Linked DNA regions of Drosophila melanogaster. The protein of the gene in region 3 interacts with the protein of the main gene of each other region in a pairwise test. Each region holds a gene or a part of one and is shown on either strand. Other genes may lie near its edges. The genes, in order: Eglp4, CG11379, CG5382 and hlk.

Region 1 (7,692 bases), on a different chromosome or scaffold from region 3:
GGCCTTGGATCAGGCGATTTTGCATAGTGCCTGCGCCAAATTGATCATTTTATGATACCATAAGTAGCAATGTCTTATGTGACCACTTGTAAATATTTCAGTTTATCTTCTACATAGAATCGCGGCATTGGTTTGGCTAGCTTGGAATCGAAGTTTTATCTGCGCAATTCGAGAACTTGAACTCACACTCCCACCAAAAAAAAAAACGAAAAATGAAACCAAACAATATGAACATTTTTTTTCGGCTGCCTTGAAGGTCGCAGCGTCTGATAAAGTTGTTAGCAGAAATATCTCATAAAAGGGGTAAAAAGAGAAATACAAATTCTTGTTTATTTACAGATTATTTTACTTAAGTTTTGACATTAGAGGTCAGACTTTGAAAAGCGATTTCAATTGCTCCTTTTAAACAATGTTTAATAAAACAGATGATCTCATTAGTACGATGAGTTTAATAATGACCAAACTGTTCAAGTAATTAGTGACTAACTAAACGAAGTCTCGATTTTATATAAGTTGGCACATGCCTTCGATTAAGATCTTTTGGAGGGGGGAACTCACGAGTTTGTGCTAATCAAATTTGATAAATCAATCGAGTTGCGAATCGCGTGCACCATCGCCAGATCCAGATTGTTGGCTCTATTAAACGAATCGATCGAGATTTGGCCCAGTTGTAAAGTCACATCATATGATTGAGAAACCGGTCGGACACGGAACAGTTGGCCCGACTCAAATTGGGCCAGTTCAAGTGTCTGTTATGGCAGTTCCTGTATGGTAATTGTGCCTGACTTGGCCAAAACCCGGTGATTCTTCACAGTTGGTTGATGTCATTCAATCCCACGCCACCATTGTATTTGTGCTTGACAAACCGCAGCCACTCGGAACTGCGATTAACTTGGTTGCTTTGCCACTTGATAAGGTGCTCTGCCGTGGGGTTAGCAGGTTATCAACGGCGGTGTCCCAGCCGCCATTGAGCAGAGTGTAGTTCCAATTCAAGACTTTAGGACGGGGCCGTTGCATAATGCATGAGCTTCAGCCAAATTCCAGAGTCACTCCATCCTTATCGCCATTATCAAATGGACTGCATATACATACGTATTGCCAGCAAAAATAAAAAATATCACGATTAGAGGCCACATCGAACCATAAATTAACTGCTGACCAGCCTTCGTGGAAGAGCAAAAGGAATTCGTAGCCTAGGTCACTGCCGAGTGCTATCAGAGCAACAGAAATAAGAGTTATTTGCCAGTAATTAGCAAATTGTCTGTCTAGTCATTACAATGCCTTTCACAAATCATAGTCTGAGCAATCGCCTTTCGAGTGGCCCAACCTCGTGGCCAGCTGATAAGACGAAGCCCCACAGTTTTAGCCACGAAATCAGAGACCTTCTCGGCTGCTAGAGCACCTGACATTTTCGAGCCGTGTGCGTGGATCTTGCCGTATTGTTGACCACGTCTTAATTGCCCCCCGTATTTACAGCCGTAAATAAAAGGGGGCAGCACTGCGAGGTGGCGATGCCAACAACCTGTTGCGCAACCCAAAACGTCAGCAGTTTCCATTGCCCTGATAAGCCGCACAGATAAGAAGCAGAACCTTGGGGCTAGGAAGAGGCTGCCATGGATCTTGGTCAATGGGCACTAAGGCTTCCGCCTGTGGCACCATAATGAGCTTCAATTACGATCCAGCTGGCAATTGGAATGCCATAAAGGGGTATACGTTGTTGTTGTTGCACATCAATAAGTCGGCAACCGATCACTATCGCACTTTGGAAGAGCCGTAAATGCGGGGCGATGTCAAAAGTCTGACGAGTAAATCCGATTTGAGTTGGCCCAATTATGGCCAAATTAAGCCTGTGATATTGCGCCGCCAGACACCGCCAATCCCAATACACCATCACCACTCACTCAGCTCGATATCGGTTATCAGTGCGAGTGACAGTGGTTGCGGCGTATGGTTTATGGCCAACATTTTAGGGCCACTAGCAAAAATCACTTCTTAAGCAGCTACAGCCACAGCTATCAGCAAACAGCGGGTGAGGCTTATCGGCACGGATTGATTAGCTGTTCTTCAGGCTAACAAGTTTTTTACGACGAGCTTCTGGCCGAAGGCTTATCACTCTATTACCAACTTAGTCATAATTAGCTAATAATAATGCCGCGTGATAAGGAAGCTCATCGAAAAGCTCGCCGAAAGCTAACGATCGAAGCTTCGTTAAAGTTGCGCATCCTAGCAGCTGAGCTTTTGAGAAGCTCCGAGGAGTCGCCCGTTCTTATCGCACCGCTCTGTTAATTAACAGTCCCCACTTCCGTTAACATCAGCGATTAGCACTCCCCAAAATATGAACGTAGAAACGCCCAGTCACGTCCCATCACTTAGACAAACGCTGAGAATGGATCATAATAATTAAGATCCATCATCCCAAACGGGGTTTGTTGTCAATTAGGCCCTCGGGCCATTGAAAATCGTGGCCCATGCAGCGATCCCATGGATGATACGTGATCCTTCTGGGCATGGAAAATATGATAAAGGTGCAGGTGGTAATTAAATTATTATTATTATTATTGTGCTGCCGATCGGATGGTGTGTTTGATTTATTTTTAAACTTTCGATCCATCGCGTGTTTACTGCTTTGCCTTTAATCTCTTTGTCTCTTGCCAAAACGTGTCGCTCTCTTTTGACCAACCAACTGTCAATGAGTTGGCCAAACACAAACATTTGCCGTTGGCCAAGGGCCAAAACGCAAATGAACCAGCAGTGCTATTTTCTCCACCGTTTTCTGTGGCAATGCCAATGTGTGTTATGGCGAGAAAGCAATGGAAAACATTAGGCGTGGTCAGTGAGGGTCAAAAGTTCTGATCACCTGAGCCACTGTGTGTACTGGGTGTGTGTGCAACAGCAGGGCTTTTGAAAATATTTGCTTTAAATTGTTATTATTTATTGACGATCCAATTGTTATTGAGACACATAACTACGCAAATTGCGTGCAATTTGATCGACAGGCGTGCCGAGATTTGCCGTGATTTGTTTGCCACATTGCGTGGTAGCCCGATTCACGCAACGCATCCTCAATTGCAGCAATTGCAATTGATAGGAATCGAAGCGACGGTGGTAATTGATAGTGTGCCACTCTGCTGTTATCAATACGCAATATGCCGCCTGCTTCAATTGCGAGCGCGTCACGCACTTGCACAGCATAACAGTGTTATGCCCACCGCCCACCGACCAACTACACTGAAAATAATTATGGGGATTTTCGCTATCAATTACAGTTTAGTGCTAAGTTTGAATGACACGCAATGAAAATGTCGTATTTTAGGAACTATGGTTACTACTAATTCTAGCAATCATTGCTTAGCAGATTTGCCTTTCTCATGGCAAACAAATAGTAAGAAACAAGTTAAATGAAAATGATAATTTACTTAAAAAACAAATGTAAGGACCACCTTTAATATTATAATTCTCATAAAATGCTGTGAATAAGTCGAATGAATTCGATAGAGCAAAACCAGTATGTCAGTTGCACACCAAGTGTTAATATCTAACCTTGTTTCCATGGAATATCATCCGTATTGTTTCTACCATTTTATAATGATTTAAGCCAGGTGACTGGTAAAGGAAGAGTGGGAGCGAGAAGGAGCATCGCTCCAGAGATAATCGCAAAAGCGAACGAGAGCAGCGAATGAGCGTTTAAGATGCTCATAAATTCTGGACACTTGACTTTTTTATGCTCACCAGTAGGATTCGCTAATTTCCACGCCTTTGTGTGTGTGTGTGTGTGTGTGTGCTTGTGGTCGGTCCCCTTCATATGTGTGTGTGTGTATCTGTGTGTGTTGCTGCTCTCTCACAGGGGCTAAAAATGGGCTTTTGATTTACGCAATATTATATAGACACAGATATAAATATTTGCCTATGGCTACTCCACCGCCTCAGATTGACATTGACAGTCGCGCTGCCGCTTTGTGAATTTTCACCAGCTACGGAAAAGATTGATTATATAGTGCGATCTCAAAGAATTGGACAAGTGTCAAAATGAGCCACGAGATTCGGTAATTATCTGGCACTCGAAACCAAAGAAATTCAAAAAACAAAAAACAAGAGTTCTGGCTACCAGAAAGAGGGATTTACCAATCACAATAAACGGATTAATTCGCAACGTAGTGAACTCCAATTGACTCGAGTGGCGCTCAGGCGATAAGGTTGAAAAAGATTGGTTATTGTTTTATGGCCATGTCGTGATTTGATTCGCATTTTTTCGGCCATTTATCTATAAACCCAATTGACAGCCGAACGGCAATCACAAGTCTACTATATTTAGTACACGGCTACTTCATGTCAGTCCAGCCATCGATGGCATTCCCGCAGCAGGCATCGTTTGTCGGATCAGCAGCATAAGTTGTGCTTCCAAAAAAGGGTGTTTGGAAAATCGATGCCAAGTCAATGAACCTCGAGCAGCAGGGGATGGATCCGCAAGGGGTGGAAAACCAGCAGGAAATCGTCCAGGCAGCCGAAGGAGAACAGCAGTTGCAAAGGTCTAGAAGCTTGACAAACTAACTACAAAGTTGCACAATAGTTGAGATTGTAGAAGTGTGTCGCGGGGATTAGGTGCAAATCGAGGAGGGCTTTGCGAAACGATAGGATGGTCTTAGATAGGATATGATTGATGAAGTTCCTAAGCAGGTCTACTTAGAGTCGAGAAAGAGATGGACGATGGCGTGCGACAGAGAGGGTAGCTCGCTTTTTAGTGTGGCATTATTCAAGCGCTTCTCTGACCATTTCAGTTGCTGTAAGGTCTTCAAAATGAAGGGATCGACGCTGGACAAAATCTCCGCCTTCCTCGGCGAGCTCATCGGCACCGGCATCCTGGTCTTCCTGGGCTGCATGGGTTGCGTGAAGACGGACCTCTTTCCCAACAACCATCTGCAGATTGTGCTGAACTTCGGCTTCGCCGTCCTCATCGCCATCCAGTGCTTTGGCTGCGTCTCCGGTGCCCATCTGAATCCCGCCGTGACCGTGGCCGCCTACATCTACGAGATGGTCACCCTGCGCATGGCATTTGCCTACTTCGCCGCCCAGATGCTGGGCGCCTTCATCGGCTACGGCCTGCTCATGGTCCTGCTTCCCTCGCCCACACTTACGGTGGGCGCTGGGCTCTGCGTGACCTTGCCCCACACCAGCGTAACCACGGGCCAGGCCCTCGGCATCGAGTTCGTAATCACCTCCATCCTGGTCATCGTCTGCTGCGGAGTGTGGGATCCGCGCAACTCCAAGTTCCATGACTCCGTGGGCATTCGATTTGGCCTGGCCATCGCCTGTCTCGCCTGCGCTGCCGTAAGTTAAAGCGAACAGTTGGCTAATCCTTACCTGCCTCGAAACGGATTATTAACCTCGTTCCCTACCATTGGTTTTAGGGTCCCTTCACCGGCGGCAGCATGAACCCGGCCAGGTCGTTCGCCCCCGCCCTGTGGAACAAGCACTTCGAGAGCAACTGGATCTACTGGCTGGCCCCGCTGAGCTCCTCCGCCATCACCGCCTACGCCTACAAGGTCGTCTTCCGCCGCGAGGTGGTTGAGGCGGAGATCACCTCCAATGAGAAGCTGCGGCAACTGGAGGACGTCCAGCTGTCGTAAGGCCAAAGACATTGCTGTAGGAAAAGCCCTAACTAATTTAGTTAATATCTAAGATGCCGAATTTTAAAATAATGCATTCGTTGTACGCTAATGTTAGCAGTGTCTTCACAAAGTGGCTCGAACGTTTCAAAAGGCGAACCAAGTGCACACACTTACATAAGCCCTTGAAACGATAAACGTCTTGGTGAAAACACTAATTGCCTTCAGAAATAAAGAACATCGAGATTTTTAATCTAAAACCAAAACAAAACAAGTAAATTATTTTTATGGTTTTAAGAAATTCTACACAAGATATTGGTAGTTATTTGATACCTGAAGTTCTGCTCTTCTGGGCCATCTTAAAACATGTTGAGTCCATATTATCTAAAAGCTTTTCATTCTTCAATAACGAGGTATTTGCTTTGATTAGCTCTAAGTAACTTCCGGGCTTAAAAATACCAATAAGCTTTTTCCAGGAATCGAAAGTGAAAAAAGCCCATCAGCTTAAGCGGTCTTTGGAAAATCTGTTCATAAGATATTCGAATATCTTAGTACCTCCAAATCGACCAATCAAATGGTGGCTAAAAAACGTTATCAGCAGGCTGCGAATGAGACGCGCGTATCAGCCAAATAAAGCCAAAATATACCAACAATATGCAGTTATTGTACGTTACGTACTCCATTCGGGTCTATAGTCCGTATACGAAGCACAAATGATATATGTGGTTCTATGTGGTTTAAAGGGGACTATGTGCTATGGGTGATATGCTAATGCTGGATTTGCATCACTCTTCTGGAATTTCTGGAAATCACGGGGTGATTCCTTCGAGTAGCTTTCGAACACCATAGGCCAGGTTTATTGGCCTTGTTGTAGCGATTCAGACACTGGCTGGCACACAAGAAGTACGAGTATTGGCCAGGTCTCGGCGACCCCGTTCGCCGTTCGATAAAGATCTTAATGAGATAAGATTGAGCACAAATCGGGCGAAATGGCAGTGGCGCTTATCAGGCCGATAATTACGGCTGAGCAAAGCCCCCCGAAAATCGCCTTGATGGATTGATCCATCCTGAATGGGTGGGCGGGAGCTGCTCCCAAATCTGCGCTCGATAATTAGCATTAAGGTTTTATAATGGATTTTGATTGATTGCCGTAAATTTTGCTGGCACGTTGGGTCACTTGGGCAGCCGCCCAAAATTGCGGCAGTAGAGTTCCGTCAGCATGTCGCAACAGAAGCAAAAATCGCAGGAGTCCAATCCGAACGCCAGGTGGCGCCTGGAAGGACACCAAAGGAGTGCGATAGCCTGCTTCTTCGGTGAACTGGCGGCGACTGCCGTCTTCGTTTTCATAGCCTGCATGGGCTGTGTGGAAACGCCGCTGTTCCAGAATTCGCACTTTCGCAGTGGCCTCACCTTCGGCCTGGCCATTCTCATCGCCATCCAGTGCTTCGGCTCCGTTTCCGGTGCCCACTTAAATCCGGCCATCACCCTGGCTGCCTGGCTCTACGGCGCAATCGGTTGGATCCGGGCCATTGCTTACTTTGTGGCCCAGGCTGCCGGAGCCCTGATAGGCTATGGTCTCCTGGTGGCTGTTCTGCCTGGGAACTCCATCAAGGGTGTGGACAACCCGTCGGGTGTTTGTGTGACAATTCTGGCCCCCGGAATCAGCGTACTTCAGGGGGTCTTCATCGAGTTCCTCATTACCTGCTGCCTGGTCATGGTGGCCTGTTCGGTGTGGGATCCACGGAACGCCAAGCTGCAGGATTCGGTGCCCGTGAGATTCGGTCTCACCGTCTCCTGTCTGATCCTCACAGCGGTTGGTATTTCGGTGCGTTTCAAAGTTGCGAAGTGTTACTTAATGGGAAGTCTGTTGCTTTTAGGGTCTCTTCACGGGAGCCAGCATGAATCCGACCAGATCACTGGGTCCAGCTGTTTGGAACGACTCCTGGGCACACCACTGGATCTACTGGGTGGGTCCTTTGGTGGCAGGAGCTGTGACCTCGCTGATCTATCGCATGGCCTTTAAGGGCGACGAGGAGATCGATCTGAGGACTTCCGATGCCAAGATACGAATGATCGGAGAGGTTATAGT
Region 2 (7,562 bases), on a different chromosome or scaffold from region 3:
TCGCAAACCAGAAGTGTATGCCTTTGTCGATGTTTCACCGGGGTCAGGCCTTTAGTCATTTGCTCCACTTAATGCGGCAAGTGAAAGATGCTTTGGGCTGAGCGCCCCTTTACTTACTCCGCGACTCGGAATAGAGGCAATGATGGCCCTATTTCGATTTGAGCCAGTAAATTCCAAATAAATTTGTCAAATTGTGACAATTAGGAGTAGACAGACCAAATGGCTGGCAGCACTGACGCAACTCCAAGGTTTTGTGGCGCAGCACACACTCTCCAACTGAACCATACTTAACCGTCTCTGTTCCGGTCGGGCGCGAAATAGTGTGTTTTGGTCACTTTCACGCAAATGAAAGAGAAACAAAAACAATGGCCTGCATTCTGCACAAGACCAAGACGACCTTCGGCTGGGGGTTCCAGCCTAAAAGGTGTGTTTGTTTGCTCACTGTCCCCTATTTGGCGCTGTGCAAATAAACAGTCTAGATACGATAACGTCTGGATTTCATTTGTGTTTATTTGGGTTTCGTTAGGTTGGTTTGTTGGGTCTTCTTAGCACGGCGGTGTTTGGGTTGGTGTGAAAACGAAACGAAAGGTGGAAGGCCGCTGAAGAACGACACCAGTGACTCAGATAAAAGGGAGTTATGTAAATTGAATGGGAAGCAAACTGTTTTGCCATATGTGCTATATACTGTCCATTATACTGCTGCTTTTTCCATTATATTAATCGCGGCTCTTGAATTATGGGAAAACCAATTTCTAAAATCACAAGATGGTCGGGTAGGTTGTACTCGTATCGTATTGTGTAACATTTCAAGGTGGAAAGGCTTAGATTGAATTGAGTGGGATATAGACTTGCATAAAATAATCACAGGCTCACTTTACATATATACATATAAGGCTTTATTCCGGAAGAGAAAAAGAGGCTCGAACGTTGCGAGACTTTGGCGGTAGCTGACATCCTATGACCTGGTCCGCAGATACACATGTGGACTATTGACGGAGGCGTCATGGCCTCCGGTCAGTCCCAACGAGGCGGCTGGCAAGTACTCGTTGAGATTAAGCGAGAACGAGGGCGGGAAGTGTTTGTCCTTGGCCTCGCGATTGATCCGATAGGTATTGCGGAAGGCGGCGGCTGGATTGATGGACCCACTGGCGTAACCCTGCAGAGCTGCGTAGTTGGGCGGCAGAGCACTCAAAACAGTGGCCGTTCGTCCTCCGAAGTCTGGCTGTGCGCCGGCGGAGATTGCAGGTTGAGATCCGCTGGCTGCTGCGGCAGCCGAGAGGTACGGCGAAATGGGCACTATGATCGGGCGGGTGGGTATCAGCTGAAGGTACTGAACCGAGTTTCCGGATCCATCCTGGATTGCCTGGGCCGGAAGATACTGCATGAGCATGGGAGTAGACGGTAAACTGGACACACTTGGTGTTCCCGCCGTTTGCATGGGCGTGAAGTTGGTCTCCATCTCGGGCATCTTGTACGAGGGCTTGAATGCCGGATCCGTTTGTGATGGAATCTGGCCCTGAAGCTGATTTTGGACTTGAGCCTGGTTCTGGGCCATGTCATAGCCACTGGCATAGGCACTCAGCGAGTTCAGGTGGGCCTCCTGTTGCTGTTGCTGCTGCTGTTGCACCTGTGGCAGGCCATTCGGGGACTTGGAACCCTTACTAGCTATCTCCGGACTCGAAACGGGGGAACCCTGAAGTAGGGGCATCACCAGGAGCTGCAGCAGGAACAGCTGGCAATGGATGTGAATGTGTCGGTGGCACAGCATCTACACGTAGCGAATAAGAGAAAAGTTAAGGGATCGTGTTCATGAAAAATATTTGCGATAATATATTTTACTTGTTAACCCAAAGGATATTATAAAATAACATTTTGCTGCTTATACCCGAAGCTGATTTTCAGGACGCGAAGTGCATCCGAAATGGAAAAATTGTATCGTAAGCTGCACTTGTAACTGAACTATATCTGCTATAGCAGCTTAGTTAATTCTGCAACACGAAGGTCAGATATTTTGGAACACCTTTCGATTTTATTATAAGCACAGAAAAAAAAAGTATGCGTATTTCACCTCGCTGAATTTTCTCTGCGATTTGAGTTTGAATGCTGCCTGGGAGCGTGGAAAACACTTGCACTTTTCCTGGCGAGCGACGCGCTTTGATTAACACGGCTGCATTGCCAGCCAGGCTTTTATATCGCTCGACGACCCGACCAATTTCCCGCAATTGGCAACAGGCTGCGGCTGCAGTTTTAACCAGTGCGAAACACGACAGCGCGCCAGCAAGCAACAGCATTTGGCTGGCACTGCCTTGGAAGCATTTCAGCGGCATTGTTGCGTGTGCCAGGCTCTTGCATGTCGCTAGTTGCAAGTTGCAAGTTGCTAGTTGCCAGTTGCTATTTGCTAGTTGCCAGTTGCTGTTTGCCGTCGTGGTGTCCATCGCTTTTGGCTACGCTTCAAGTTCAAGTTTACAGCCATCGATCGCGCATCAGAGTAATGGTTTCGTTTTCGCTTTCGATCGACTTGCTTTGCTTTACTTTGAGCCGCTGGGTTCCGTCTTCCGAATCCGAAACCGAAACCGAATCGGTTGTTTGGGGGCGTGTCGCTTTTGGATCTCGGATCGGTCCTCTTCCGCATTGCATATGGGTACGGCTACGGCTAACGAGTTTACAAGTCTTTTTCGGGGGGATGACAGCCCCCAGTGGTTGGCAGTTTGGCCGGTAGTTGTCCGCTTCAAATTGGCTTCATGGATTCGGTCAGAAAGTGGTCTTGCGATTTAATATATGTTCGATTTTTGAGTTTATTTTTTTCTTAAAGAAGCTAAAAGAAACTACGCTTTGAATCGAAATTTACTATTATGGTTATTCATAATTCAATTTATGATGCAGCCCGTTGTGTCCCACTGTGCCTATTAAAACGCTTTTAGTATAATTTGAACCATAAATTTAGCTATTGACTGAGGTAGTGTGATATGGCTGTGGAAGTGGAATGGTCACCCCTCCGTCTCAATTGGCAAAGCTCTGTGCGCTTCCCTGGGATTGGGTCTGCATTGGAGTGCCGGGCTCGAGACTTCCGAAGATCAGCGCGGAGCAGCGGCGATGAAGGGTGCGACGCCAGTCGAGCATCCCGCAGCGGAGCTTCTGGGGCAACGCGGTGGCCCATAGGGAAAGCCACAGAAGACATGCGCCGATCAGGCCGGTAGTCAGGCCCAAAGTCCAGTACTCGCAGACCAGGAAGGTTTGCTCCTCGACGGCCAAGGCCTGGAGTATGCCCACAATGGCGCACTGGCAGAGGGACTCTATGCGATGCCACAGTTTGCTAAGGGTCAGATCCAGCACCAAACAGCAGACGCCTGTCTCCAGTAAGAGCGATGCCCAGGACGACTCATTGCCGCGAAGGTTTCGATTCCCATTCCTGAACCGCTGATCGGCGGGCAGGGCACTTGAAAACATCCTCACCCCGTGAAGAAGGGTCACCACGCAGGCGGAAAAGAGCCAGGCGCCCAAGAGAGGAGCAGCGGAGCCGGGAGATTCGCGAAAGTAGTAGTAGTACGAGATGCCCAGTACCGAGTGAAGCAACACCGCCATGATCAAGGCCATTAGTCGAGCCATCTCCAGATGTCCTCCTAGGTGTACACTTCCAGTTTTACGGGAGTAAATTCGGGTCAGAAAGCCTTAAACTGAATTATTCAACTGACTTTTAAAGCAGCAGTCACTACTTGGTTAACTCCGAACACTTGTGTACAAGTATTCCTTGTTATTTTAAGAAGTGATACAAAAAGCAAGTTGTAAACTCTGTTAAAGTTTTTAAAGGCAATATTTAATATATTCGATGTTATCTTTTCAATTTATAATTTATATATTATGATTTATACAGCATTCTTGCGTGGCAGAATACCCCATCGGTAATGGCATAGGTTTCCTCTTTGTGTAATCACAGTCACTGTCTGCGTCACAGTTGAAGTCACAGACACCGCGCCAATTGCAATTATCACCACAAGTCAAACAGGCTCAGATGTCAAGGCCTTGTTTTCCTCATTTTCAGTGGGCTCATTACGTGAGGCAAGTGGAAATGGGAAATGTGCTCGATAGTAGTCAGCTTACTTTCATTTTTGTTTCGGCCAAAGCTTTGCGGCTCCAACTTTTGGACTTTAAAGCTTGAGCATGATCATGGAGAAACTCATAGATAAGCTCTTCCAGATCTTTATATGTACAATAATATATATGTACGTCTGGTAAACCAAGATGATTTATAAAATGATTAGGCTGGTTGGCATGGAATAAAATTTCTTGCATGCACTTGCTCCGCACTGTTCTCTGCCGACATGACGTCCCAATCCTGGTGATGCTGCTCCGCTTGCTCTGTCAGCAAGTCATAAATCTTCGGCTTCAACTGAACTTGATACATCAAAATGTTGGTCAAATTAAATTTCTTGCGCCTCGTCCTTTCCCGCACAGCTCGCCCCCGCCCCGCCCGCTGCTCCTTGATTCTCCCAGGGATTTCACTAGGAGCAGCTGCCAAGTAATTCGTCAAGCTGCTTTGTCCTCCTCCAGCGGCTGTTCTTATCTCATCTCTGGGTGAGCATTGTTGCTCCGCTCCTCTGTGCTGTGCTGTGCTGTTCTGTACTGTTCATCTGTCTGACTCCACCACCTACCAATCTACCTACCGACCTACCACCCCCATCCCTGTATCCCTGTATCGCCCCGTTTTGGCTGGCTTTCATGTCAACTGCATTTTTCTTTTGCTGTGTTGCTTGTTGTGTGCTGTGCGCTTTTTCACTGCTTTAAACCACTTAATGGGTTTTTTTTATGTGGACCTGGGTTAGATGGAAAAGCGCAAGGAGTGGGAGGCGGCCTGGCGGTGCCTCGGGGCTATTCATGCTGCAGCTTTCTTGTAGCTTCATTCACAAAGACTTGCAATTCATCAAATCTCGTTAGCCTCGGCTTTTATAGAAAATCTGCAGCTGCTTTTGCTTCTGCTTTTCTTTTCGGGGTTTCGGGGGGCTGTGCTCCTCTCATTCATCTGCCACGCCCACGGACACGGAGTGGGCGTGGCCGAAGCTTCAGCACCGATTCGAATCCCCGTCCGCATCCGCTTTACCATTTCCAAACGGCATCCTATCCTCTGGGATCCTCTGTCATTATTGACTGGCAACGACTTTAAGGCAACTTTTGTTCCGCTCCCATGCGCTTAACTTTAAGGGCTTTACCTTCTCCACCTGAGCTGAGCTCCGATCCATGCTTCTTCCTTTGAGCTAATGAAAAGTGTGTGTCTCCCAAAATGGAGTGGAATCCTTGCAGCTGCAGCTTGCATCATCAGGCTCTCCCAGCGAATAGCTCGTCTAAATAAAAGTAAACCAAAGCTCTGCCAAGGAGCAACAATAAACGAGTTGGCCAATGCATTTTTAATGCAACCAACCACCCAACCACCTGTACAAATCCGTTAGGGAGGAATGGGGATGCTCTCGAGGTTCTCTAGGTAGCCTCAAAAATGTTTCCAGAATTGGGGCACATGTTGCCACCACATTGCGATTAAATGACCCTTTTGTGCTTCCTTCACAACAATTTTCTGGGATCAGCACTATGATTCGGCAACACTGAGAGGTGTGGAACATGTGGGTAAATAGAAATTTGTAAATACGAAGAAAATCAGTTATTCAACACTGGTCTGGTGTGGGACCAACACTGTTCGCATAATATATGCATTTGACTCACCTAGCAAACAACGCGCTACCAATACTGTTTTGTCTGTTAGCCAAGTGATGGCAAAGCATTTGCGCCGCACTTTGGCTAAGTGGGAGAAGGCGAGCACTTCGAGCTGGGAAGCAGCTGCTCCTGGGCACCTCCAGCCTGCCACCAACTCAGCCTGCTTCTTCATTTGCTCCCTCTTGGCAAAGAGCCCCATATCACGCACAGGCAAACATTGCAAGGACCCCAAATGCATTCAATTAACAATTTCTCCGGCCCTAGACCTGGCACACAACTTTGCTGGCTGCTGGAACTGGGAACTAAAAAAGTGGGAACAGGAGGCGGTGGTGGCTTTTAATCAAAAACTTGCATTTGCCAAGTGGCAGGGCAACTTTTTGGGCCAAGTTTGTGCGGCGCCAGAAGTGGGTAAACTTCTCCAAATTGTGACGTCGACAAAAGTCAAATCGTGCCGACTCGCAGCACCCTGAAGGCCTCACATGTTCATGACGCTGCACGATTGCAATCAGGGGAATGTGTTTTGGGGTGCGGAATTAAAAGATACCGTATTAGAAGTACCATGATGCAATAATATAAATTAATATATATTTTTTTATATCAACCCGCCCGCTTCCCGCTTCCAACAATATTGTATCTACATATGATCCAGATTATTTCTAATGACCTATGCATATGCGAGTGATTTACGAGTAAATACAGTTGTTGCTTGCATGCGCGTGAATTAGGGCTTCATTTATGAATCATAATGCAATCATTGATTACGATTCGTTACGCGTTGTGGCAGCAACCATTCTGGACGTTGTCAGTCAGCAAGTGAATGCCGTAAATTGCCAGGAGGGGACTATAGACAGACTCTGTGGAAATTCGAAGCATTGCTGAGAAATGAGCGTAACCGAAGCCAAACACCCGCATGGAGCAAATGGAGCTCCACCTTCAGGCCATCCCCACTCGTTTTCCCTTCTGTTTGCCTCGCCCACTCCATTTGAAAAGTACTTTTAAAGGACGAGGACGTGGAGGGGTTGGGATGGAGGATGGAGGATGGCTGGCGGGCTCGTGCCATTTAGCAAAAGTAATTAAGCGTCAATGCGTTTCATTTGTGTTACTTTTCTGGGCAATTACGGCGCAAAGTTTGCAGTTTTGAAGTAGTGCGGCGCAAAATGTTCATTGTTAAAGCCAGACCGACTCACCAGACGACGAAAAAGATTTTATTCCGCCGCGCGAGAATCGATCGCAAAAAGTGGATACTTGGTGTTTGATATTGCGTCAACAGGTGAGCCCAGCGTCCTGGACCGACAGACTGAACTGTCGACTGCTATCAGCGTTTTCTACTCCATCATCATTATGGTAACCGTCATTGGGGCTCGGAAGCAACATTTTACCAACTACCGGGAATCCGTCCACTGGCCACTGCAATGTGCTAAAAGTGTTTCTCATTAAAAAGTTGTTTCACAATTTTATTATCCTGTCGTTACCGAGGTATTTGTAGTCCAGAGTCCGTAGTCATCTCCCTCGACTTCATCCTTGTCCTTGTCCAGGTGCTCGTTGCTTCAATGTGACAAGCTGAGCTCAACCGGGGTGACAATGTCAATAAAGCAAACTTCGCACCCGGCGAAAAGCCCTGCGGACCCCCCTCATAAAATAATTTTTAAATTACTTGTAAAAATAACAGCTAAAGCAGGAGCAAAAAGTTTCAATAAAAGTAGGGTAAACAAAAATTATAGCGAGCGGGAGGAAACAGAACGGAGCAAAACAAAAGCATTTACGATGCTCAAGGGATGGAAACCAGGAATTATCGTTGCATAGTTTGGCGGACACAATTTACACAGAAATTAAGCTTTCACAAGTATTTTTACTCTGCGTAA
Region 3 (7,734 bases):
AGGGGTCAAGGATAGTGATGACGCAAAGTCAACAAGGGAGGTTAAACATTTCCTATACTTAACCGACCTGCACTGGCTCTCAAAAACACTGGCTGAACTGCGTCGTCAGGATCACTGCCAAGTCTTTCTGCATCAGCTAATTGAGTCCTGTGATCTGCTCCTGCCCGAAAACGAAATGAAGCCGCGCAATCCTGAGCTAGAAGCGCGCTGCCAACGTCTTCGCGCAGAGCAACAAAATCGGGATTACCTCAAAATGACCAAGAATGTGGATGCCGGCTTAAAACACTATCCAGAGGACACTATCAGCTATCAGAGTAAGTGAATACGCCCAGCTTGTTAGATCCGCCCTTTTAAAACCTTTTTCTTCTTCCCTTCCCTTTCAGTTAAGAGCCTTAACAAGCAAATCATTGCCGTGGTGCAGTTCATCTTCTCCGTGGCCGCTGGCTTTACGTTCGGCTTTTTCGGCGTCAATTTGATGGTGGGCCCGCTGCCTTTCGGCTTTCGCATCTTGCTGGGCGTGATTGTAGCGCTCATCATAGCCCTGGCTGAGATGTACTTCCTGGCCAAGAAGCTGCACGAGTACGATGAGGTCTTGGACGCGCCCAAACGTAAGCCGCAGCCATCGACGCCGGCTAAGCGCACCCCGCCCGCCGAGGGAAGTCAAGTCCAGACATTGAAACCCCATGTTGACTAGATAGATGATCTGCGAGTAAAAATCGTTCTTTGTCGTTGTATTATTTCGCTTTGCAATGTTAGGTTATATAAATAGCTGTAAAAGTTTTATTCTTTCGGAATCGGGGACTTGGATATCGATTATATGCTACGTATGCTTATTTCGACCGTGAATGCACACCCTATTCGTAGTGGTTCGGCTGTGGATTGGGGTTATTCCAGCCCTCGTCCACGGCATCAGATCCTCCGCGACCCAGCCAGGCCATAAGATAGACGAACAAGACAAAGGCCAAAATGCCGGCGGTCACCAGGAACCAAGTGCGACGCCACGGCGGCCGCGAGGAGGGCGCATAGAAGCGGCGTGTCCATCGCGAGAACAATTCCGCAGGAGTGCGGCGCTGGTACTTATTATCGTCTCGATCTGTCCCACCAATTGGCGACTGACGGGGCAGCAGCGGTCTTCTGCTGCTGGCTGCAGGTGCGTAAGATTATAATTATAATATGACTCAAAGTGTATGCTAGATTATGCGCACCGTAGTCGCCCGCACTTGGGGGATTAAATGCATCCATTAGGAGCACGGAATGTGGGCTCACGGCGTCATGGCCATTGGGCTTCGTGCGCTCTCGCTCGCCACCGGAATGGATGTGGTGCACTTTGGTCATGTTGCTGACAGCCGCCTGGCTTGCCACCTTGGGCTTAATGGCCTTCAGACTGCTGCTCTGCTCCTCAGAGAGCTGGGAAAGATTCAACATTTAAATTGATTACAAGCTTACTGCCCGGAATGCTTACCAGGGCGAGTCCCAGGCCATTTCTGCCCCAGTTAACCTGCGACAGGAAACTCTTCAGAGCATCGGCCACCGGGGAGACCAGGTTGGCGTTGGGAAAGATCTCCACACTGCAGGCGGGGCACTGGTGACCCCGAGGGGCTGTGTTGGCAGGCAGTGCGGCTTGGCGGGCGTTCAGGCAGTCCCAGTGGAAAACATCTGGAAATGGCAGGATTATGGGTAAGTGTGTGGTGTCTGGATTAGCTCAAAACTGGCAGATCCCTACGGTAGCAGACGAGGCGCACGCAATCGCCCTGCTCCAATGTGGTGCCGCACAGAGTGCAGTTGGAGATGTAGTCGCTGTCCCGCAGCCACTGCAGATACGACTGCACAATGCACTGAAAAAGAGTGGATATGGTGTATTCCAAGCATCCATAAAACTAGAGGACAGGAATCCTTACCTTTGGATGAGACTGAACCATACAGTGTTCGCAAACATTGACTCGATGCTCAAAGCAAAACTGGTTGGTCACCAGGCGCTTGGGGCACTTGCACAAACCCATTTCCTTAAATTCGGGGTTCCTAAGGCGGCGGAGGAATTGCACTTGGCGGCCTTGGGACAGCTATCGCATAATAACGCCTCAATAAAATTAAATTTTATTTCGTTTCGCAGCTTTTGTCGGAATTTTCGAGTTTTCATTCACATATTCAACAGCCACGTATCTGTTCATGCGTTCCGGGCGATTGGCAACCAGCTGACATATTCTGCGAATATCGTAGCGATGAATGATGAAATACGATATGTGTTTGCGATTTAAAAAATCGGTTTCAAATTTTCCTTTTTTTTATGGTAACCATAACATTTAAGAGTTAATAATGTTTGTGCTACAAAAAGCTTAATAAACAATAAGTTCAATTTGTAATACTTAATATAAAATAAAATCCAGAGTTTTCGAGCTAATCCCTAATCCAACCAATCTCGCATATATTCACAAGTTATAGCAGTTACATCGCCACAATTGGAGCAGTTTTTGATGACGGGACAAATGCCACATGGCATCTGGACCAGACCAGTCGGAGGAAGTGGGGCGTTCACCGCCCGGTAGACGAAGGATCCATCCTGCTGGCGCACTCGCTCCGCATTGCCGTCGTACACCACTGTTTTGAGAATTGTTTCCAGATCGGCCTCCGCCAGATTAACCTTGCTGATGCCCAAGTCCGAGATGAACTTCTGAACCTCGTTCACCGTGCAGCAAGACATCTGCTTGAAGGCCAGTGGCCCCTCGCGCTTCTTTTCCGCACTGTCGCGTTTCATTTGCAGAAAGCGCAGGCACTGCTGGTTGAGCACATCCACAAACTCCACCTCAAAGTCCTGATCCTGGTACCAGGCTCCTCCCGTAATGGAGAGATCCGGCTCTAGGTTGTACAGCATGTACACTTTCTTTTTGCTGGCCTGCGCGAAGAAAATTTGGAATCACATTGAACTTGGAATATGGGATCATAGAACCTACGTTCACCGACTTGACCGCCTTGATGAGCTTCTTGGTTTCTAGGTTCTTGAGGATCTTGTTGAGCTGTATCATGTTCAGGTTGGACTTCATACGTATATCCCTAATCCAGATGCCTTTGTTGCCGCCCTCCTCAACAATGCCGTAGACGACCTTCTCCTCATTGTCCGCATCCTTGGGCAGGGCACTCTTCTTTTCCGGGTCCTTGGCACGGTACACCAGCTTTTCACCCTTCTTCAGGATCTCGATCCCGCCCTCCTGCAGCAGTATATTCAAAGCTTCCACCCGCGTGGCCGCCGGCACATCGGGCAGCGCCTTGGTCAGGTCATCGTTGGTGGCACCGGCTGGGATGCCCTGGACCACCGCCAGCAAAAGTTGCGACACCTCAGTGGCCATTTTTCTATTCTCGAAAATTTGTTATTTAAAATTCAATTAAATCGAGAAAAACAACACGCTTACCGTGAAAAGCAAAACAAAAACAAACGGTTCCGGGCGAATGGCTACCGCTGCTAAGAAGAAGCTAAAAAATAACAAAAATCACAAACCAATTTTAAAAATATAAGTTTGTTCTATTAAAAATAATACTTTACGCAACTGAATAAATGAGGATAAATAAGGAGCATATGTTTTAGGCTTTATTACAAATTGCTTTAAATAAAATTTAAAGCTTTCCGAAGACCCCAAATGTTATATCGTGAATCTGGTATGTATATACCAAATGGTATTTATTTTAAAAACGAGTGGCTTTTTTAGGCTCATTGGTGCCAACTGTTTTTTCGAACAGATCGCCGGACGCACTGTTTCTGATTGGAGTGTTCGCTGCCTGTGCATTTAAATTGAATTAAAATAATTCCAAAACAGGAAGAGCAAATACATCTTTCCGCGAGTTCACCTTTACTGTCAAAAACAGGTAATTATCAGATCTTCTTGATACGACCTCAAGCTAAACATCATTCCATTATAATACGCTAGAAATTTTGCTAACGAAATTGGCGGGGGCAAGACATTTGTTTTTGCTGTTGTTGATGATGCAAGCAATTTCTCCACATTATGTAGAATTGCGTTTGCCGCCTCACAAAACACATACACACAAGCACGGCTGCGAATTCAATTCGCACACCCATACAATCTCAAAAGAACCTCGTTAGCGAAATGTGTAAAGGTGAAATAGAAGTCATTCCATGCGGAGCGCGCCACAAGTAAAATAACCTACACCATCGCAATCACACCCTATTAAACATGCCATCGGAAATAATGCAGCAATAATAATCTTGAACCGCTGTAAACTTCCACTATCGCAATTGTTTAATTGCTCTGTGACGACGACGCTTTCAGCGATGATGAGTAATTTTGCATAAATTTGCTCTGTGCCGGATTGTCTGAATTATATTTGAAATTTTGTTGCTGTTTCGGCGTCTCAGTGATAAGCATTTGTTGTTGCAGACCCGAGCTTCAAAATGTTAACGGCGCTAACGTCCTTTATCCACAAGTTCAAGGTTAAATAGTACGGCACATAGTACTCATTACATATTGACTGAAGCCTGGAAAAGCACTTTCACTTTCAGAACTTTTCTCGTGCGTTTTCCGGCGACAAAAGCTGCAGGCCGGCGAGCTTTACTTGCACGGTTTCTGCGCGTGTCACTCACGATGAGCGAAAGAGAGAGCGGAAGATAAAAGGAAAGTAGATGCTCACGCACTTGCATAATGGCAGTGCGAGCGAGACGAAGCTGTTTTCTGTGGAGGAGATTAGGTTGTCAAGGTCAGCACAGTGGAATTCTAGGTGGAAGTGGGACAGTTGGACAGTGGGCTCTTTTCCGCGTTGCTTTTTTTCTGTATTGCCAGCTGATAAGCGCCGTCTAACAGCTGATGATCGGTTTTTTGTTTACCACGCACACACATACTGACATCACGTGTCCATATAATCATATATACACATACTTCTGTACAATGCAAATTTATATGCAAAAATTAATAATCGTAATGGATCGTTGAACCTTCTGTTCTATCCGATTGCCGGCCAGCCTAGCAACGGAGCTTTGCGCCAGTTAACTTCGGAGCTTCCTTTTTGGATAAACTTTTCGCATCCCCTTACGCGAAGGGAGTTAGGGTATGTTGGCACAATAGCATATCTTGATCCTGCTAAACACTTTACTTATACTTAAATATCGAATGATAATTTGAGCCTCTATCTTTTCCATTTGATAATATCTTTATTAATTTTTATATGCAGTATTGTAAGATTAAGGTTATATTTCACTCGGAATTATATTGGGAATAGCGGTAAGGCCACTTGGTCGACTGAGCAGCTGGCAGTCCCTGGTCGAGCATACCCTTGAATATACCCTTCTTGCTCGCTCACCAATGTTGTCTCTTTAGGGGTGGCCTGTTGCGTCCGCCTCTTGCCTCTTGGGCCCAAACTCTCTCTCCTCTGCGTTTATGCTCTCTTTGCTGTCGGGCTACCGACATTCTGAGCGCTTTTTCTGCGGCTAGGAAAATTTCCGCTTGCCAAAAAATCTGTGTGGCAGTCGAACTTTTTGTCTCGTCCTCGCCGCGTCCGATTTTCCATATATCCCGATTTTCGTCTCAAACTTGGAAGATATATTGCCAAAATATTGCATTCGGCTAGCCGCTGCGTTGTGTGTGTTGTTGTGCGTGGAGTTGCGTGTGCAGTTGCAAGAAGATATAGTCGTCTATATCGTCAGACCGATCTCGATCCCAAGTGCGATTCCCGTTGGTTACATACTACCCGTTCGGTAGGCAACAAAATGGTGAACGTAACCATCTACGATGAGGCACCGCAGCTGAAGGTAGGCCAATGTCACGGTAATGGAAGCCCCCAGAGTTGGTCCATAAAGATATTCATAATCGCCATAATCAGTTGGCTGGCGAGTTGGCCCGATATCAGAGTCATTGGGGAGGAAAATGTGGGAAAAGACAATTATGCAACTGCAGCTGAGAAAATTCTGTCGGTCGCGGTCGGCAGAACTGACCTTCGGCGGTGCAGATGTGCAGCGCTGCCGGTGTCGGCTTCGCTGCACACTTTTCTTCCGCCTGCTGCTTTCTCTCTGCCACTCTCTCTTCCGCTCTGCCTTTCTCAGGTCCTCTCTACGGGGGACACCCCTAACCACCCACGCCCATCCACTCAAGCACTTCAAGTACACGCACTTTGTTTACATCAGCGAATTCTGCAGCGACAGCTTTGCGTTTTTCAAAACATAACATGCACAGTGCGAATAAATATTTTGATAATTTAAGCAATCGTAAGAGTTAACAAATAGTATTTAACGCAACAGCATCATTTAATATTGGTAATCGATTATAACATTTTATATGTCAAGTTTTATCAATGGCTTATTTACACATGCTACTAAGTACCATCAGAATGATAAAATACTGTTAATATATAACGTTATCATTTTAATTAGGATTATTAGATTATTTAAAATCATTACCTTTATATGTAAATAGCTCTATTTTATCTGTCAGTTCACAAATATTTCAATCATTCCTTTTGGTCATGAAAAATGATTGGTGCGGCGAGCATTTGGGCTTAAATCGCCGTATTTGGCCCGTTTGGTTCTATTTATAAGCCGGTGGTAAACATTTAATTTGGTCGATAAAAACTGTATCGATTTATATTCGTTGATATGAAGAAGGGTTATCATGAGTTTTGCACGCATTCGCCACGTTTATGTTGGGGTCCTAAATGTGTTTCGCATTGCATGACTTCACCAGGGCATGATTTTAATATCATAAAACTAGTTGGTTTTTTTATTTTTTGCTAGAACTTGGTAGTTTTTAAAACGCGTAGGGTTTCTTGTTGCTAGGAAGAGACTTCTGATTATTAGCGTAAATTGGAAATAAATGCTTAAAATCAATAAACACGACTTTAACCTGTTTTATTGCAAAAGTTGGCAATCAGCGTGTTGATTTCTAAAAATAAAGAATCAATTCGCGCTGTTTATAAATATGAAGAGAAATGAAAACAAACAGAATTAAGTATAGTTTTCATTTTGCAGCCCAACGAAGTACCCCAAAACATGGCCGCAGGAGCTGATACCCAACTGGAGCACATGTGCCGTCTGCAGTTCGACTCGCCAGTGCCCCATGTGCGTCTGTCCGGAATCGTGTGCACCATCGGACCTGCCTCCAGCAGCGTGGAGATGCTGGAGAAGATGATGGCCACCGGCATGAACATCGCGCGCATGAACTTCTCTCACGGATCGCACGAGTACCATGCCGCCACCGTGGCCAATGTGCGCCAGGCGGTGAAGAACTACTCGGCCAAGCTGGGCTACGAACACCCCGTGGCCATTGCCCTGGACACCAAGGGGCCCGAGATCCGTACCGGTCTGATCGGAGGCAGCGGCACCGCCGAGATTGAGCTGAAGAAGGGCGAGAAGATCAAGCTGACCACCAACAAGGAATTCCTGGAGAAGGGCTCTCTGGAGATTGTGTACGTGGACTACGAGAACATTGTCAATGTGGTGAAGCCCGGCAACCGGGTGTTCGTCGATGACGGTCTGATCTCACTGATTGTCCGCGAGGTAGGCAAGGATTCCCTCACCTGCGAGGTGGAGAACGGCGGCTCTCTGGGTTCCCGCAAGGGTGTGAACCTGCCAGGCGTGCCCGTCGATCTGCCTGCCGTCTCCGAGAAGGATAAGAGCGATCTGCTGTTCGGTGTGGAGCAGGAAGTGGACATGATCTTTGCTTCGTTCATCCGCAACGCCGCTGCTTTGACCGAGATCCGTAAGGTTCTTGGCGAGAAGGGCAAGAACATCAAGATCAT
Region 4 (8,551 bases), on a different chromosome or scaffold from region 3:
ACCGTTTGTTGTGTTTAATCGCAGACGCAACTGATTGGTCTGAACAGGAGCTGGTGGAGCCGCAACAGCCACCGCGTTTGGCAAAGGCGAATGGTTGTTGTCCTCTCCACTTGAGCTCTTTCCATTCAGACTCTCGAAGCCATCGTCCTCCCCGATGTTTCGACGCGTCTGGTAGTCTGGCTTGACGGAACACAATCTTTCTCCAACCGACTCAGGCGCACTTTCTTCTGCGACTTTTCTGCTGGAGCACGGCTCTTCGCCCAGCTCGTAGGTAGCGTATATCTGAATAGGCGTGTGCCAGTTGACGTTGCGCTTTTTGGGGCTTTCGGGAGCAGCTCCCCCTGCCTTTCTGCTGAGATCGTAGCATGCGTCTATGGCTGCCAGCGGTTGCGTTAGTGGGCTGATTGCAGTCGTTGTCAAATAGGTCTCCTCGTTGGTGCTCCGCCTGATAACAGATGGCGAAGGCGTAGTCGGCGTGGTGGGGTCTGGCACCGTGGCACAGGTAACTGTTGGTGAAGGCAAAGGCGTGACCGGTCTGGGAAGAACTTCGATTGTGCTGGTTGCGGTTCTTCTGTTTGGAAGTGATATGTTACTGCTGGCCTGGGACAAGTCAGCCTCCACTTGTCGAACTCTAAAAAAAGAATTCAATATTTGGTTCCGAAAAGAGCTTCGTTCTTACCGCACAATCTTCTTGCGACGTCGCACCCGGTTCTCCCTGGTTGCTGCTTTGTCGCTTAAGTAGCTTGCAGATATGCGACGCAGCTTGTTCTTGCTACTCCCGCCAGAGACACCCGAGGCGGTGTTAGTGGCTACAATTTGTGAGTGGATGAGACTGATCAGCAAGCTTAGGGCGCACGGAATAAGCAGGGCACTGAGGAGGGCGGCATGTTCCTCGGACTCCTTATCTGCATCCTTATCGGAGGCATCTCCATCTGCCTCTGCCTGAAGCAGGGTTCCATTTGGCGGCTTCTCATAGTCAAGGGGCACTATGCGACTGCTGTGAAGCACGTAGATAGCCCAGTTGGTTAACTGTGTGAGGTAAAGCACAAGGATGAAGCCGAAGGCGTTTGGCGTGGTCTGCTTGACCCACCACTGGGCATAGAGGGGCAGCAGGACATAGCGCAGAATGGCCAGGCGTATCACAGTGAGTAACGACTGCTTGGGCTTGGCCTTAGGGAACGTGGAACCTAAAAAATGTGTTTCAATTATGGGCACTATTTGGGGTCAGTCAGGTTAAACACACCTCGCACCAAGTCCACATCGATTAGCTCCGTCTTCAGCTTGGTGTTTTTTAAATTGACACTATTGAAGCCGTCCAATATCCTCTGTTCGACGGTCTTTTCCCATTCTTGCTTGTCATAGGTGCCGATTCTCTTCTGGTACCTACAAAAATTCAACAGCGGATAATTTGATAGTCCGGAGAGGGAGAGAGTAATGAAGCATTGTTCGCTTACCATGCAACTATTTCATCCAATTTCATAGTAATAATCACATAAAAGTCCTCGAAGTGTCGTGCAGCCTGCGAACGAACAAAGAAATCTTCAATTAGGCCTCACATCTGCAGCGCGAAAGCCTCTAATTTATATCGGCCTGCGATAGCGAGGTGCCCGCTATCCGGATATAACTGGGGAACCCAGTATGTGAGTTCGCGGCTGGGATTTTGTCCCACATATGAAGTTGGCGTCGAACAGCTGCTCTGCATAACGGGTTTAGCAGGCTGGCCCATATCAGCTGATGACTTTCACCTTCGCCTTGCCACAAACACGGGCCCGCCCCCGTCAAGCCTACGCTCATAAGGGGCCTTCCCCTTTTCCGCCTCGACCGCCTTGGAAATCTGGGGAAGCGGACGGCAATCGGTCTAACAGCTGTTTATCGGGCGGGTGGGCGTCAATGTTTATGCACACACATGCGGAAGAGGCGCAGGTATACACACAAGCGCAGGGAATTGGACTTGGTATGCGGCCCCTTCTGCAATACTGGGTTCAAGGTGAATTGGCCACAGGACCCGCACTGTGGCCCCATGGCGGAAGCACCCGTGGGAAGAGCTGATTTTATTCATGGATAGCGGAGTTACCTTGGTTTAAACCGCGTCACAGATCGATTTTTGTCCACCTAGGCGCGAATTTCTTACGCTTCCGCTGACTGCTGGTCGCATCGATTCCGGTGCCACTGCTCTGGGAACTTTGGATCCCGTTGGGTATCTGGTAATTTTGAATGCACTACACACGCCGCAAAAGCGTTTGCATTTGCATTGGGTCCGAAAAAATTTGGTGCGCAACAGAACGAACGTCCCGTTCCTAACGAAAAACTAAAGTGTGTGCTCACAAATCCGTACATCTTGCTCAGCTAGATATTATCGATAGGCAGTGGATGGATTGTCAGCTGGCCGACGGCACCTATCGATAGCTATTCAAATCCAAATGGCGGCCATGTTGTTTGTTTGAAAGCCCAAAATAGGCTGTATTATTTTTGTTTATTTGTCCTGCAAATTATAAACAAGGGAGTCTCCGAGAAAAAGTGCAACTGCATCACTAGATTTTTTGAACATATCCGAATTGATTAAAACATTTCTGATTTATCACTTGCCTAGCTTTATTGTAAAATATTGAATAAACCTCCATAACATTAATACAGGTACCAAGATACCGAGACTTTCATTTTTGTGTGTGTTGCAGAAACGAACTCCAAATAATTCGCGAGGGTGGTTTGACGTTAACAAAGGTCATAGTTGATAACCAGTTGAAAAGGATTCATTATTAGTTGGATCAGGTTTTGATGCCAATCTTTAGAATTTGAGAATTCTTACATTAATCAATACAAATAAAGCTATTAAGGACAGAAAACCACTTGTAAATCCGGTCTCATCTTCCATGTTTTCGATGACCAACAGTTTTCGAGAAGGCTTATTTAACAGTAACTTTAAATCATTCTCTAGATCCTATTCAAAATTTGGTATATTTGTTGATTTTTACATAATAGTTGACTGCTGGAAGGAAACGTTTCCGTCCCTAGAATTTACATTTATTCTTATTGAGGATCATTAACCGATTCGATCTGTTCATGTCCTCCTATCTCTATAAACGCATAGATTTTTGGAACTATAAAACTTAAAGATTCAACAATGTCACGTTATGTCTCTTAGCAAAGGGAAGTTTAATCCTTTCTATTTTAGACTAAGCATAACGTTGACAAAATGTTAGCTCGAAACACATTGTTAAAAGTGTTTACCAAAGGGAAAATGGGGAATACAAAGTACTGTGAATTGTTGTAGCGCATAATGAAAGCGATTCTCCGAGTTTGTTTTTATAGGACTATTCGTAGTCACTTTCTTGTTTGCACCGAATGCATAAACAGAGAACTGCAATTCAAAAGGGAAACTCTTGCTCTTTGCCTGATTTCACCACACTGCTCACTCGATTGGCGCTCCTGTGCTCGACGCGAAAGCTTTTCGGGGGAGCGGAAAAGCTGCGCCAAAGCACGAAGTCCACGATCCCGATCCCTAAAGCTCGGGCAAGGCCTCTTGAATGGCACCGAGATTCCACCAAAATAATTTCAGTTGCGAGCGGACCTCTGCACGGAGTGGAACAAAATCTGAAGAGCAAAGAGTACAGTCCGCGGAAAACGTTCAATTAATAGAAGCAAGAAACCACATATATAATCTAATTATTCTCGTATATACCCCACATATATCTCGCCTGTGCATATACGAACCCCGTATATATGTATCAGTGAACAAAAAGTTGTTATACATAAAATAAATTGCGAAAGAAGAAACACCATTATCAACTAAAAATAGTGACCGATTCTCAAAGGAATACAAATTTTAATAACGAAAGACCCCAAACGACGAGAACGAATCAATTATACAATTATAACACTATAAACTGTAGAACACACCAAAACGAGCAGACACGCGCACGCATGTTCGCGTTAAGGGCCTAAAGCACATCAGAACCGTAACCGATCGCAGGATGACTTTCACCCGCCTCAAGACTCTCTCGCTGCTCGTGTGTGCTCTGCTGGCCCTGAGTTTTCCCGGACATGTGAGTGGTGCAGGCAACAACAACAACAAGAAGGGCTCGCAGCCAGTGGCGCCTCCGGAGCCGGAGGCCGTCATCGAGGAGGTCAATGCCAAGCAGCTGGAGAAGCTCCTGGCCGACAAGGATTACGTGGCCGTTTTCTGGTGTAAGTGGGAGGGTGGTTATGCCAGTGCTCTCGGGGTCGTCCGGGCACCGCTCATTTATCGTCAGACCGGACCGTACCGGACTCGAAATAGTAACAGAAGCCATATTATATAAATTTTCGCTAGTGAAAATTCTAAAAATTCACATACAAATGAAAATATGTGAAAAATTCGTTGCTCGAAATGTCCGCGATTTTCATTCGGTTAATTTTTTATTTTTTTTCTATTTCTTCATTTCCTCCCCGAGTTGCCAGTAGTCTGTGCTGCCTTCCCTTTTCTATATTTTTTTCATTTCTGCGCTATCTTTGCGATCTGTTTATGAGTAGAGAAATCTCTCTTGGCTGTGAGAAATCGTCTTTGCAGCTTTTTATATTTTCGGTTTTTTAGTCTATTTTGGCGCAAACTTTTGGCACAAAATATACCTACATACCTATGAAGCAGAATTTAATTTCCTTCCAGCAGTTGCCAACAGATTTCCTGCCCTTTTAAATTTATTTTCAATCCCCTTGTCCAGTGGGTCCCATTGGTGACCTGTTTTTGGGTAACCAAAAAAAAAAAAAAAAAAAAAATGGTTACCGTTCGCGTGAAAGAATGGCTTATTTATTAAATCTCTTTAATCAGTTTAAATATAGATTGGGCATTTGCGCGCTGTTCCCCAATGTCAAAGTTAATAAACACGAAAGTGATCTTCGGATTGTAATATTCTCCTTTATATGTATATGTACATATACCTCACGATGTGTTTCATTAGCATTGGCGGCAATTCCAAAAATAATTGTTGACAATGAAAATATTTTAAGTCCAAAAGCCTCAGGCCCAATGACGCTGGCCGACAATCGAAATAATCATGGAATATCTACGCAAATGGCAGAGCATTGAATAGTTTTGGCAATTAAATCGCAGATAGTTCAATATGTAAACGAATTCTATCGATAAGCTAAATGTGTTTATTATTTCAAGTGAACGCTATTTATGTTATTGCACTGCATGCGATAGCACTCTGATGATTTTAAATCAAACATCCTGCAGTGGATTTTCCAAAGCACCTGGTGTACACAGGAAACACCTTAGTGTTGGAGCCCGTAAATAACAGCATTAGGAGTATGGAGTAGGCAGGGGGGGGGGGTATTCGGCCAACTCGCGATTACTTTCCAAGCAGTGAAAGATTGTTTTGAACGGATTGCCAAACAATCGAAATGGCTGTTTACTCGGCGATGTATTAATGATTCCGATTTTGCAGTCTGGTCTGCCGTTTAACCAACCAGAACGTTTGTAGAGACGTGGGCCAACGGTGGTCTTTTGTGGGCTGCAATTCATTTCCCTAATAGTGGCCGCATGAATTTTATGAATTAATTTAGAATTTCAGCATATTTGTTGGCAGTTGCTGCCGCATTAATAGCACAGAATTGGCCTGGCGCTGCTGTCATTTCATTCATTCATTCAGGCTTATTTTCGATTGCGCGGTCCGATGATGCATCCTGCATCTACTATATAGGAATGAATAATCTTTGCGGCATTTGGCTCCACTTCTGCCAGGGCTTTGGGCTTTGGGCTTTCAATTCGAATGGGAATTTAGTTATGGTCTCTTGTGGCGTCACATGCAGCAGTTGCCGACTGTCAATCGCTGCCGGTATCTACATATAATCGATCTTTAGTACTCACACGCTCGGCTTCTACGATTTCAGATGCGCGAAGCTGCGTGACCTGTGATAAGGTTTTAGCGGAACTCGAGAAAATCGACGATGACACCGACTCCTTCGGTGTGGACTTCGTGAAAATCAACGACAAACGACTAGCCAAACAGTATGGCATCAAGAACTTCCCCGCCCTCACCTACTTCAGGTAGGTAATTCCCCCACCACAAACAAGACACAAGACCTAATCGAATCGAATCCATATCTCGAAAACCGCAGGGAAAAGGAGCCCATCATATATGATGGGGATCTCATGGACGAGGAAGGAGTGCTCGATTTCCTCACCTCCTTGGAGGCCATGGACTTGCCCGATCGCATCGAGGAGGTCAATGCCAAGATATTGCAGAAGATCATCGAGGACACCGACTTCGTAGCCGTTCTGTTCTGTAAGTGTGAATGACTTAACCGTAGCACATACATAGTTCTTCAAACGTTTAGCACTCCGAACACTCTAGTGTCGGACACTTGAAATGATGATATTCTTTTTCAAAGCAGTTGCAGTTTTTAGCGAACACAAACAGTTTAGCTCTCTTGTGACTAAAAATCATACAGCTAGGTACTAGAACTACTTTCAAAACTACCTATTCTGTACATTCTATTCCATAAATCAATATCTTTTGCGTATGTCTGTACTCTATCTATAAATACGTATACTACTTGTAACTAACCGAAGCTAAGTGGCGGCATACTTAACATTTAATATAGCTATCTATATATAATAATAATTTCTCTTCCGGCGGTGTTTCGAACCCTCTTTGAGCCAAAATGCAAAAGGACAATTTATCAATCCAATATCTATTCTATCAAACGACTGCAGGTCCAGATCATGAAACATGCCCGCCCAGGGTTATGGGTAAGTTTTCCGTGAACAGTACTGGGAACCTTCTATCTTGCACTCTCCTTATAATTACCTACTTTGAAACTTTGTTTCCCCCAAATTAATTCATTGACAATGTTTTACCCTTATTCCACCATAATTTTCCTGATTCCAGTAATACCAAAGTTGAAATGAAAAGATTATTCCGCAATGCCCGCAATTCGATATGTAAATATGTATTTCCTTATTGACTGCATAACCCAAATAACCGAAAAATCCAGTGTGTGTTGGTGCTTGCTAAAATCGAACGCTAGGGATTCAGATTCCAGTTTACAATGCACCAATTAGCGTGGGCCAAACCAATTTTATTCAATCTTTACTTAAGCTCTCCTGCTGACCAGTTAACGTCGATGGCCTAGGTAAAGGACACAACCTTAAATATATACAATCACCACTGTACGAGTAGTAATTCTTAGTAATTTTTTAAAAAAACAAGATCTCTCATTTTCGCGTTCGCTATCGACCAAGGCAGACACACATATTACGTATACGTATAATAATAAACATTACAACAACAGAAGCAATGCAGATGAATGTCTGGGCTCGGCGCCAGATTATGTTTTTGTCGGCACGACGTCTTCTTCTCTATAACCCCCCCCCCACAAAACTTCTCATCCGCCACACCACGAATCACAACCCAATCCCTAACCCTGTGATTTGGACAAGCCGGTGGATAGCAGGATGAAAATTGGGGATTCGCACTGATCTATTGAAGTTGGATCACAATATAGAAATTGTCGAGCGTGGGAGATTTTCCCCGGAGACGATATTCGAATTTGTGTGAATTTTGGAGAAAGGAAGGAATTTACCTATAAAAAAGCATAAATTCAATACTTGCAGATGTGGCATACATATGTACATATATATGTACAACGTACATACATACACACACGGTGATGTGTTGGCCAACAACAAAGTATTCGTGGCCATCCGTCTCTTTCCGACACAGCCACCTACAATTTTAGTGTTAAAAATAGAAAACTCAAGCAGTTGGTGGGCCAACAAAATGATTTTTCGCTGTTCTTGCTGCTGCTGTTATTTTTGCTTAATTCTGAAACAACTAACTATAGCCACACTCACATGGCAAGTGTGTGAATTCACAAGAACATTTCTGTAGCATCCGCTACACTATCCATAGGTATTTTTATCAAACGCAGACAGCATACAAAAAACAAAACGCTTATCCTAATGCAAGATGCATAGATGCATAGATGCATGTATGTATGCATAGATGCGAACAGCATGTAGGTGACCCAAGACAAGAAATCGTGGCCCATTGTCCCGCCCGCCCCCTTCACTGCGCCCCCGGCCATCCCCCCGCAATTGAGTTTGAATCCATCAGGGGCTGCAGACAGACAGCGCTTTTAATTGCTCTTGCATTCAGCAATACATCAACATGGCGCACACGAGCCGGCAGTGCATGGTTATGGGCAGATCTTCAGTTGTCGCAGCCAAATGCTGGTTTACATAATATACGAATACCTATACCGATATATTCGTATCCGTCCGTCCCACTGCAGATCTATAACTGTGTGTGCGTGGCTCTTTCCCGACTGACTTGCACTATTTTTAGTTAAGTGCAACATTTGCCCATGTCTGCGGCAGGGCCAAAAATTGGTCAGTCCGTCAGGGAGAAAGTTGAAGGCTCGCAAACACGTCTGATTTTCTCGATTTAGCACATATGTGGGTACATATGTATGTTTTGCCATCATTGTGCATTGTGCAGTAAATTATGAGACATTTTCGCGAGCGAGTGTGTGCGTTGGCCTTGTCACCTTGGCGACACCCACTCAAACA

The links.
Region 1: the proteins of CG5382 (region 3) and Eglp4 interact in a two-hybrid assay, tested with the Drosophila melanogaster proteins (one large-scale study listed by BioGRID).
Region 2: the proteins of CG5382 (region 3) and CG11379 interact in a two-hybrid assay, tested with the Drosophila melanogaster proteins (one large-scale study listed by BioGRID).
Region 4: the proteins of CG5382 (region 3) and hlk interact in a two-hybrid assay, tested with the Drosophila melanogaster proteins (one large-scale study listed by BioGRID).

The regions. Positions count from the first base shown.
Region 1 is NT_033778.4:23,605,765-23,613,456, reverse strand, and holds Eglp4 (entomoglyceroporin 4), read left to right. Parts: upstream 1-4,526; 5' UTR 4,527-4,650; coding exon 4,651-5,325; intron 5,326-5,405; coding exon 5,406-5,624; 3' UTR 5,625-5,865; downstream 5,866-7,692. Other genes in the region: Eglp3 (entomoglyceroporin 3), read left to right, coding at 6,823-7,416, 7,481-7,692.
Region 2 is NC_004354.4:1,176,308-1,183,869, reverse strand, and holds CG11379 (uncharacterized protein), read right to left. Parts: upstream 3,706-7,562; 5' UTR 3,607-3,705; coding exon 3,001-3,606; 3' UTR 2,319-3,000; downstream 1-2,318. Other genes in the region: CG14627 (uncharacterized protein), read right to left, coding at 956-1,768.
Region 3 is NT_033777.3:22,363,814-22,371,547, forward strand, and holds CG5382 (uncharacterized protein), read right to left. Parts: upstream 2,171-7,734; 5' UTR 2,001-2,170; coding exon 1,899-2,000; intron 1,836-1,898; coding exon 1,724-1,835; intron 1,657-1,723; coding exon 1,463-1,656; intron 1,408-1,462; coding exon 1,206-1,407; intron 1,145-1,205; coding exon 855-1,144; 3' UTR 760-854; downstream 1-759. Other genes in the region: CG7071 (uncharacterized protein), read left to right, coding at 1-314, 384-694; Polr3F (RNA polymerase III subunit F), read right to left, coding at 2,402-2,890, 2,949-3,341; PyK (pyruvate kinase), read left to right, coding at 5,711-5,752, 6,965-7,734.
Region 4 is NT_033778.4:6,735,673-6,744,223, reverse strand, and holds the start of hlk (hulk), read left to right. Parts: upstream 1-3,551; 5' UTR 3,552-3,971; coding exon 3,972-4,185; intron 4,186-5,868; coding exon 5,869-6,025; intron 6,026-6,096; coding exon 6,097-6,263; intron 6,264-6,694; coding exon 6,695-6,730; intron 6,731-8,551. Other genes in the region: phtf, read right to left, coding at 1-631, 680-1,187, 1,244-1,383, 1,455-1,480.